3 linked regions of the Macaca mulatta genome follow. The protein of the gene in region 3 interacts with the protein of the main gene of each other region in a pairwise test. Links are inferred from orthologs where the notes say so. Each region holds a gene or a part of one and is shown on either strand. Other genes may lie near its edges.

Region 1 (3,655 bases), on a different chromosome or scaffold from region 3:
TGGTTAGTCAAAGGTTCCCAGGACCTCAGTCAAAGGCTCTTTACTCTCACTGGAAACTGGTCATCACACCAGGCCTGGAAGAACAGAGAGAGACCCTCGCACTTATTACTCTAACTTTTTAGTTTGTTGAGAAGAAAACAAGTCCAGAAAGGTTACGGGACTTCTCTGGGGTCACAGAGCTAGTTTCGTCATAAGGGCAGCAGACAGGCATGCAGTAACTCCAGTAATGACTCCACAGGTAATGGAACAGCAAGTGACATTTATTTTCTTCTTTGTACTTTGCTGCTTTTTGTATGTGTTGCTTTTTATAATTTTGTATGCATTACTTTTAGAATTAAAATAACTCCTTGTTCATTTTTAAAATATCACCATCAAGCTGGGTGCAGTGGCTCACGCCTATAATCCCAGCACTTTGGGAGGCCGAGGTGAGTAGATCACCTGAGGTCAGGAGTTCGAGACCAGCCTGGCCAACATGGTGAAACCCCTGTCTCTACTGAAAATAGAAAAATTAGCCGGTCATGGTGGCAGGCGCCTGTAATCCCAGCTACTCGGGAGGCTGAGGCAGGAGAATCGCTTGAATCCAGGAGACAGAGGTTGCAGTGAGTCAAGATCATGCCACTGTACTCCAGCCTGGCGACAGAGCAAAACTCTGTCTTAAATAAACAAATAAATAAATAAAGACATCACAATCAATCAACTGCAATGACAGGCCTTATGCAAGTCACAATTTTTGCATTCAGACAGGTAGAGTTAGCACAAGCCATGGTCGGTACACATCAAGTCAGATGATCCTAGAAGTCTTTCTTTTAAATAAAAATAAGGAGAAATTGGAAAGACATACACATCAACAATTTAAAAGCTGCTACAACCAGTAGGATTGTAGAAAATTTTTATTTCTTCTACTTTCTTGACTATCCTGTTAAACTTTATTAGATGTATACTTTTGAGATGAGGAAAGTACTTTAAACCCACAATGAATGCAAACATGCGTGACACACCAAGGTACCTGCAGCTGTGCACACCTTCTCCTGGGTCCAGACTGCAGGCTTTGTACTGGGCAGGCCAAGGAGCTCTGCGCACAGTAGGCTTTTAACAAATACTCAAGAAATCATAGTTCTCAGGCATTTAAGGAACAGAGATGGAACAAAATCAAGATTCGAAATTATTTCTCTAAGCTTTTTTTGGGCCACGGTCTATAAAGAGAGATTTATTGGGGAAGTAGGCTGTCAGAACTTTAATGGTTCTGAAATCACTGGAAATGATGTAACTGGAACAGTTTTCTTTTACAAGATTACAGTGTATGTTTTCTAAAGAAACTGTCATTTGCCTTCTAAACTAGAAACAGGGATTTGTAAAATAATGTGCAGTGATCGTGTGGAAAACTAACCAACAGCACTCCTGAAATGCTGCCTTCATGTTCCCCTGGGACTGCTCACCTCACCCCAAAACTATTTCTATTGCCCTCCCCTTCCAGACTACAACTAGTCTCCACATGTAGTTTTCTCGACTAACAGAGCAAACAGATCATAGGAATGGACATCAGACTTCCTTATGAGAGTTCTGAAAATTCTCTCTTCTGGAGGAATAAATTGTCAGCCTTTCAATTCGAACATTCCTGAAAGAATAACCAGGCAACCGAAACATTCAGTGACTTAGCTGTGGTGGGCTTGTCACTTCAAACTTAACAGAACAATAAAACACATACCACTTTACAGAAAAAAAAAAGAAGACGACGAAGAAGAAGAAATCTCTTTAAAACAGTAAGTGTGGACAAAGTGTTTTCACAGATGAAGAGATGAAGTTCCTGAAATTTAAGGTTTCATTTCTCAAGGGTCTCCTTTAAACAAGTTTATTATTTCAAAGTAGACATGTGCCTTTAACATCATTTTTTAAAATTACCAGCCTTAGCAAAGGTGTAGAAAAAAACGTGTTCTCAAGCACTGTGAGTGGAAGAATTAGTAAAACATTTCTAGAGAACCTCTCAGTGTCTTAACAAAATTTTAAACACACATAGCAATTTTCCTTCTGGGAACTTCTCTATTTGCCAAGATACATATGCAAGGATCTTCCCTATAGGGTTGTGTATAAAGGAAAAATCAGACAGACTATGCCAGGAGCCCCTGAAGGAAAAAGTCAACTGTGGAGGGGGCACCTGCGAATGAATTCTGCGGAGTTGCTAACAGAGCTGACTTTCACACACAACATGGTAAGGATCCACGACGCCGCACACAGGGGATTACACACACAACATGGTAAGGATCCACGACGCCACACACAGGTGATTACACACACAACATGGTAAGGATCCACGACGCCGCACACAGGGGATTACACACACAACATGGTAAGGATCCACGACGCCACACACAGGGGATTACACACACAACATGGTAAGGATCCACGACGCCACACACAGGGGATTACACACACAACATGGTAAGGATCCACGACGCCACACACAGGGGATTACACACACAACATGGTAAGGATCCACGACGCCACACACAGGTGATTACACACACAACATGGTAAGGATCCACGACGCCACACACAGGGGATTACACACACAACATGGTAAGGATCCACGACGCCACACACAGGGGATTACACACACAACATGGTAAGGATCCACGACGCCACACACAGGGGATTACACACACATCATGGTAAGGATCCACGACGCCACACACAGGGGATTACACACACAACATGGTAAGGATCCACGACGCCACACACAGGTGATTACACACACAACATGGTAAGGATCCACGACGCCACACACAGGGGATTACACACACATCATGGTAAGGATCCACGACGCCACACACAGGGGATTACACACACATCATGGTAAGGATCCACGACGCCACACACAGGGGATTACACACACAACATGGTAAGGATCCATGACGCCACACACAGGCATGGGGCAGGGGAGAGGGTGTAGAACACACACACACACACACCCGAGCAGCAGGAGCAGAGACAGCCCTCGAGACAAAGTGTGACAGGGGCCCCCTCCAGAAGGAACATGGGGCTGAGGCTGCAGGGGCGAGGGAAGGGAGGGGCCGACAATGTTCACATCTCTAGGATTCAAACTTTTTCATATACAGCATGCATTACTTTCACTTCTGCTTAAAGAAAAGAAAATAACTGCAGCAGCTTTTGGTTTTTCAAGAGTAATGAGAATATATTTCACCTACTGTCCCACAGCTCTGTACCTGGGTGGTCAGGGCTCAGGTCTTCCACTGCAATCTGAACCACATCCGCCAGGTCGTGTTCAGACATCATCCAGAGCACAGGAGAGTGGCCGGTCAACACGCAAGAGTTCCACTCGAAGAGGGGCTGGCTTTTGGTCACCTACCAAACAGAAGCAAAGGAGGAGGAGAGGACATTAACCATCGCCACATGTGAAATGATGAAAACCACGAGCCGTGCACATGTATGCAAGAGGCCGAGAATGTCTGTGGATTTTTACATGCAGGGTTCTTCTTGCCTCAAACCACCAAAAGGTAAGTTTCTTTGAAAATTAACAAATAGTTGAAAACGCCACCCGCTGCCTCATTCCTTAACCACTGGACAAGTCACCCAGGGCGTCTCTATTTCCACTGCATTCCTCATGCCCTTCCAAAGCCACCTTCCCAACACTGGCTTG
Region 2 (3,655 bases), on a different chromosome or scaffold from region 3:
AACCCAAAGTCAGCATTTGTTTTGAAATGAATTACCTAGAAATTAGACTTGAAAGTAACAGCTGGGGAAAAACTCAAATTTGGGGCATCATAGCCTGAATACTTAAATTGTCACAGATTAGGTAATATAAATCTATTAGGTACAACATTTGCAATCCCCAAAGGAAGGATATTTACTTAATTTAAAAATTCATTCATGTGGCTGGGCACGGTGGATCATGCCTGTAATCCCAGCACTTTAGGAGGCTGAGGCCTTCACTTGAGGTCAGGAGTTCAAGACCAGCCTGCCCAACGTGGTGAAACCCCGTCTCTACTAAAAATACAAAAATTAGCCAGGCGTGGTGGCACATGTCTGTAATCCCAGATCCTTGGGAAGCTGAGGCAGAAGAATCACTTGAACCCAGGAGGCAGAGGTTGCAGTGAGCCGAGATCACACTACTGCACTCCGGCCTGGGCACCAGAGTGAGAGTCCATCTCAAAAACAAAACAAAACAAAACAAAAAATTCATTCATGTTTCTCTCTCTCTTTTTCTGTCATGCTACTCTGAATCTGGCCTTTCTCCAGAGCCAGTAAAACCTGCTAAAAGGTGAAAAATGATAAAACTTAATTTGCTATTTAATGTATTAAAATATTTCTTTTGTAAGCGTTTTTAAGTGCGTCCCAACCCCCCCCCATCTACCTTTGATATATTTCAGAAAACTATAAAATCACCACTCAGTGGTGTGATATAGTAATCCATAGGTATTCTAAATGTATTAGATTAATAAAATATACCTTGAACAACAACCTGGCTGCCTGGGACAAAGAACTGCTGTGTGCCATCAGCTGATTGTGCTGCATACTGTACAATTGTAGCACCTGGTGGAGGAGCTCCTGAATTTGTCATTGTTAATGCCTGCAGTCCCTGAACACCATCAGATCCTGGGTTAGAAATCTGGATTGTTCCACCTTGGGCTATAGCAACTTAACAGAAAAAGAAAAGAAATATTAGAGAATTTCAAGATTTATTTTTAATAATCCCCTACTGGAAGAATATACTCTGGGTCTATTTATTACCATTGCTTCTTTCTCAGGTTACCCTTATTTTCTATGCTGAATTCGTCATGGGACAATATGCTAGGAAAAGCTTATAAACACCTGAAAATAACTGTTTGAGATTCATAGAGCCCATGGAGTGTTCCTACTCCTTAGCATCCAGCTAACTACATCACTCAAGAGGAAGAGTGGAGAAGCAGACAGGGAGAGTCCAGCTTCCTGGTCTTCTCCATTCTCTCAGATGTTTTTCCTTACAAACACCATTCTTCTACCATTTAAAATTCCCATTTAAGGCCAGGTGTGGTGGCTCACACCTGTGATCCCAGCACTTTGGGAGGACAAGGCAGGAGGGCTGCTTGAGCCCAGGAGTTCGAGGCCAGGCTGGGTAACATAGGGAGACCCTGTCTCTAAAAAAAGGAAAGAAAAGAGAAAAATTCCCATTTAATATTACAATTAAAATGAATTTGTACCTTCATTCAGCTAACTACTTTTCTAATTTGTCATCAAAAGAAAGTAGTTTTTAAGAAATATATAGGTCAGGTGCAGTGGCTCACGCCTGTAATCTCAGCACTTTGGGAGGCCAAGGTGGTCAGATCACCTGAGGTCAGGAGTTTGAGACCAGCCTGATCAATATGGTGAAACCCCATCTCTACTAAAGATACAAAAATCAGCCAGGCGTGGTGGCAGGCGCCTGTAGTCCCAGTTACTTGGGAGGCTGAGATAGGAGAATCACTTGAACCCGGGAGGTGGAGGTTGCAGTGAGCTGAGATCGCGGTACTGCACTCCAGCCTGGGCAACAGAAACTCCGTTACAAAAGAAAAAAAAAAAAAAGAAATACATACATACAATTATATATATAACCAACATGTTTTTATATATATTTATATAAAAATATATAATTATATATGTAATTATGTCATATATGTCATATATAACATATATGTTATAAATATACATATATTTATATATAAATTTATATTAAAATATTTTGGTTATAAAGCTCAAGTCTAGAAAAGTGTAATCTTTGCCATTTTGTCTGTCAGGAGAATCCTGAAATATAAAATGTCAAGTTGGAAAGGTCCTTAAAAAGTAACTGTTACTAAAAGGATTTGTGCTACAATATTTATCTCTACCAAGTGTCTCAAATAACTACAGCTAATGGCAACAAATATGAGGTAGATTCCCTTTAAATACTGAGATTTGCCAGTCATGTTTAAAAGTTGACGTATTAATGGACTTGAAGCTTCCAAAGAATAACTGATCAAATGTTTTGTTTCAAAAATTTCACTATAATAGATAAGTATTATTTAAAATATCTGGAAGGTCTGTATATTTTAACATAAAGATTCCAACTGCATGTTTTAAATAGTAGGTATTAAATGGTACCAGAGGCTATGCTTTTTAAAAAATCACATATAAACTACCTAACTAGGCTTTACAACAAAGATTTTAAAAACACATCACCAGAATAACATGACATCTATACATCAAAGTAAATGCCTTACAGTAGCGTAAAGTAGTGTTTAAAATATACTCTGAATACTTTCAAGTCATTTCCAAACATTTTTAATAGCATGTAGGCAAAAAAGCACTTAGGTAATAACCTTACATAGGACAAACCTATGAGAATTATGGAAAGAGTAACAACAACAAATTTTCACTTCTTTCACCTAGGGTGCCAGTGTCTACACAGGAAGACAGATTAACATTTTTAAAAAGATTTCCACATGCTGTGTTCTCTGTGTTTTATTTCACTGACAGGCCAGTGTGGCAGAAACTGAAGTCAGTTACAGAATGTCAACAGAGCTGAGGCTGAGATACCCTGATGTAACAGCACTTTATCTGGCTCATCTAGAGCAGTATTTTCTGTACATACTTTAAAAACAGGATATTTTTAAACCATGGCTTTCCAAAGATTTCATGGGTTTCAGGATTCAGCCCTCACAGTAAAAGGGTTTGAGGGAGATCTAACTTCTTATAAGTATAAAAATGTCAAAAGACACTGCTTTCTTGGCCCTTTGTGGCTAGACATGAGTAAATTTTGTATGTTGTCATATATTTCAATATGTATTTTTCAGTTGATAATTAATTTGATGTCACAGAAATAGTGCTTTAGAAAAGAACAGCCTAAGGTCAGGTAACCACGGTGTGTTAGAAGTACAAAGCCTAGGCCGGGCACGGTGGCTCACATCTGTAATCCCAGCACTTTGGGAGGCTGAGGTGGGCAGATCACCTGAGGTCAGGAGTTCAAGACCAGCCTGACCAACATGGAGAAATCCTGTCTCTACTAAAAATACAAGAAATTAGCCAGGCATGGTGGTGCATGCCTGTAATCCCAGCTACTCAAGAGTCTGAGGGAGGAGAATCGCTTGAACCTGGGAGGCAGGGGTTGCAGTAAGCCAAGATCGCGCCATTGCACTCCAGCCTGGACAAGAGTGAAACTCTGTCTCAAAAAAAAAAAAAGAAGGACAAAGCCTAGAACAGAGCAGCCATTCAATAAACAGAATGAATGAATGAATGAATGGCTATCATTTCCTCATGACAGATGGTATTATAAACAACTTAAGCCACCTGTGAATCTAGGAGAGTTAAATGAGGTATGGTTTCAAATTCTAATCAT
Region 3 (3,655 bases):
GGTTTTTTTGAACCTGAAAAAATGCTATTTTTCTAAAAGGACAATTCATTTATCATCTTAACTTAAAACGTCTTAAAGTAATTTGATCTGTATTATGCTTGACTTATACTAACAGGTCCTTAATTTTGGAGTACAGGTTCCCGCAAAATGGAATTTAAAGGAAACTACTGGCATGAAACCTGTTTTGTGTGTGAGAATTGCCGACAACCTATAGGGACAAAGCCTTTGATCTCCAAAGAGAGTGGCAATTTTTGTGTGCCGTGTTTTGAGAAGGAGTTTGCTCACTACTGCAACTTTTGTAAGAAGGTAATTTTCTACAGAGGGTGAAGCTTATGGAAACTCAGACCATTTCTTTTTAGCTGTATCATATATTTGGAATGAACTGATATTGTTACGCTATATCTGCAATCACACACCCATAGTAGTTTGGACTTTCAACATGTCCAAACCACTAATTGTCATGATGACGATAACCATCTTTTTTTTGTTAACCATAAAATTCCAGCCACAGTAAGAATTTAATATTCCAAACAGCTCAAGTGATTTGGTATTCCAGTTCATTGCACTGTTTTTTGTTGTTGTTGCTGTTTTGTTTTGTTTTTTTTCCTGAGATGGATTCTCACTCTGTCGCCCATGCTGGAGTGCAGTGGTACAATCTCAGTTCACTACAACCGCTGCCTCCCGGGTTCAAGAGATTCTCGTGCCTCAGTCTTCTGAGTATCTGGGATTACAGGTGCTTGCCACTGCATCCAGCTAATTTTTGTATTTTTAGTGGACACAGGGTTTCACCATGTTGGTCAGGCTGGTCTCAAACTCCTGACCTCAGGTGATCCACCTGCCTCAGCCTTTCAAAGTGCTGGGATTACAGGCATGAGCCACCACACCTGGCCCATTCACTGCTTTTATACAACATCTCACATATTCTGAGAGAAAGCACAGGTCTCTCTTTGAATACAGATGTTTCTTAAAAAATAATTTTTGATCCATTCAGTATTAACTGTTTCAGAGAAATATGGATTTGCCTCACAAAGTGACTAAGGGAACCAAGTTAAACAGGGTGTTTAACTCTTCACATTCTTTCTCAGCAATGCAAATGTCTTCTTGATTTGAAGCTTTTGTATTTCCTAAGAGTAGAGCAATCAGCTCAAGAGAGTGCCAAGATCATGGGGGACGTTCAGCAGACAAAAGACAGAAAGAAGACTAAGGGCAGCAAGTTCCTTCACTCCAGCTCCAGGATCATGTACAGCCTTCTGACTTGGCTTCCCACTCAAAAAACATTTTCTAAGAGAGAAAAAAAGTGATTTTTTTGAAGTAAACTTCATCCAATTCTTTTTTTATCCTCTAAGCTTTTATGTGAAAAAGTAGCTCTAACACCTTGATGAAGCCTGTCTGCATTCTATATAATATATATGGGATGTTCTCAAAGAAATCCTTGATCTCTGAGGCATCATAAGTTTAAAATGACACCATAAATTGTCATAAGAAAGCTGAATCATGAAAATACATTGAATTAGTATAGTGGTTTCAAAGTACTTTTTATCTATGGGCCACTTTGGGAGAACTCTTAAGCCCGTTTGTATATCTGGACAGCTGGAAGTCACACTACCACTTTCTACACACGCATATGTGAACACACATGCACATACACACACACATGCAGTGATTGTTTAACATGCATAACCAATACCAGTACTTCATTTAAAGAGGTAGCAATATACTATACTAAGTTATAATTATTAAATTATACAATGTTGATGGCTGAGAATTGCAATTGATGACAACATGATATAAAACAATCTTATGACTGAGACCTTCATTACTCTACCAAAACACTAGCTTAGAAAATGACTTTACAAGCAGCAATCAAGCCATATGACCATGTGACATATGAATTCCAAAGAATTACCAATGACAGCATTTAAAAACATGCTGGAGGTTGGGCATGGTGGCTCATGTCTGTAATCCCAACACTTTGGAAAGCCAAGGTGGGAAGATTGCCTGAGATCAGGAGTTCAAGACCAGCCTGGGCAACATAGTGAGACCCTGTCTCTATTTAAAAAAAAAAAAAAAGTTTAAACATTAGCCAAGTATGGTGACATGTGCCTGTAGTCCCAGCTACTTGGGAGGCTGAGGCAGGAGGATCACTTGAGTCCAGAAATTCAAGGCTGCAGTGAGCTATGATTGAGCCACTGTACTCCAGCCTGGGTGACAACGAGATCCTATCTCTAAAAAATATACAAAACTTAAAAATTAAAGAAATTAAAATCATGCTGGAAATAAAATGAATAGATTCATCTCACTGTTTTGAGAGACAACTGAGTTAGCCAATTTTAGACTTCATTTCTTAAAGCCTTAGACTAAAACAGTAATGAGATTTGTGAGAATTATCTTAAAATCATTTATTGGATACAATATAAAGTCTCTTTCAATGCTATAACAATTCAAGAGTGAAGCTTCTTTAGTACATCCATGCTGAGCACTGTCTGGGCCAAGTGCTAATGTTTCCCAGGTTATTGGAGCCTGTAACTATATTTAGGATATGATTTGAAGTCACCAAACATTTACAAAATATTTATATTGGGTAGTAGACAGATTATGACATACCGGATTATTTTTTATTTAGTTTTTAAAACCACAAGTCCTTTTCTAAAAAGCTGGATATGTTTTTGATCAAGATGATCCAATCTAAACAATTTTTTTCAACCCAAACCAAAACCCAAATATTTTCTTAAAAAAAAGAAAAAACGACCTGACAATCAGGCTCTTAGAACTTTTAAGCTCTAAAATCCATAGATTTTATTTTGTTACACTAAGATTTATTTTCCACCGGAAAGCAAATGATTTTAAACTACAAGCCCTTCAAATTCAAACTCCTCAAGGTTCAAAAGGAGTTAAACGTCCTCTTCAATTCTTCATCTGTCACCTACTGAGTGCAAAATCATTATTGCCTCCACTTTTTCAGAGAAGAAACTTGTTCTAAATCCTGGGATCAATCAGTGGTGAAAACCAAACTTAGATATTAGACTTCATCTTAACCTTCCTACCTCTTCAAAAGGAATGTAATCACAAGCAAACTATTTCTAATGTTCCAGAGTTTCTTGTCTCTAATTAAACAGTCTTTGGTGTATATATCAAGTTTTATTTTGCTGTGAATACATTTTTCAAGTTTCAGATCTTTTAAGCATTGCCTGCTAATCATTAGACCAAACAAATCAAAGGAATCATGAATTCTGCTGTGTCTGCTGTAGGGCATTGGAAGTCAGTAGGGAGTATTTTAAATTGCTTTACTTCCATCACACCATTATGCTTCTCATTTACTTATTCAGAATAGTATGCTTTTTTCCTCTAGGAAAATATCTTTCATATCAAATATCTTTAATTTCTAAGATATTTGTTATATGATTAAAAATATATTTAGAATAATTTTTTCACAAGTGTATGTCACAGACAAATAACATTTTTGAGTTTGTAAACAAGGAGGTGGCTTAAAATAGGCTCTATGTTTTACTATCTAGTTAATTTGATACAAAGGTTGTGGGAACCACCTCAGATATCCCATTGCTTCAGTCATTACAAAAATTTACAAAAACACATTCCAATATCTGCAGCAACTCTAAGAGCTCATTAGCTGTAAATTCAAAAGGTGATATGGCTT

Evidence for each region.
Region 1: the proteins of FHL5 (region 3) and BANP interact in binary tests that used the Homo sapiens proteins (3 or more experiments, as listed by UniProt). The two-hybrid records come from large-scale screens. The link is inferred for Macaca mulatta from reciprocal best matches to the Homo sapiens genes FHL5 and BANP.
Region 2: the proteins of FHL5 (region 3) and CREM interact in a two-hybrid assay, tested with the Homo sapiens proteins (2 studies listed by BioGRID). The link is inferred for Macaca mulatta from reciprocal best matches to the Homo sapiens genes FHL5 and CREM.

What each region holds. Positions count from the first base shown.
Region 1 is NC_133425.1:83,365,834-83,369,488, reverse strand, and holds part of BANP (protein BANP), read right to left. Parts: intron 3,362-3,655; exon of another isoform or gene 3,361-3,361; coding exon 3,204-3,360; exon of another isoform or gene 2,739-3,203; intron 2,279-2,738; exon of another isoform or gene 513-2,278; intron 1-512. UniProt on the Homo sapiens protein: Controls V(D)J recombination during T-cell development by repressing T-cell receptor (TCR) beta enhancer function. Binds to scaffold/matrix attachment region beta (S/MARbeta), an ATC-rich DNA sequence located upstream of the TCR beta enhancer.
Region 2 is NC_133414.1:36,596,143-36,599,797, reverse strand, and holds part of CREM (cAMP-responsive element modulator), read right to left. Parts: intron 964-3,655; coding exon 775-963; intron 1-774.
Region 3 is NC_133409.1:89,284,982-89,288,636, reverse strand, and holds part of FHL5 (four and a half LIM domains protein 5), read left to right. Parts: intron 1-136; coding exon 137-306; intron 307-3,655. UniProt on the Homo sapiens protein: May be involved in the regulation of spermatogenesis. Stimulates CREM transcriptional activity in a phosphorylation-independent manner.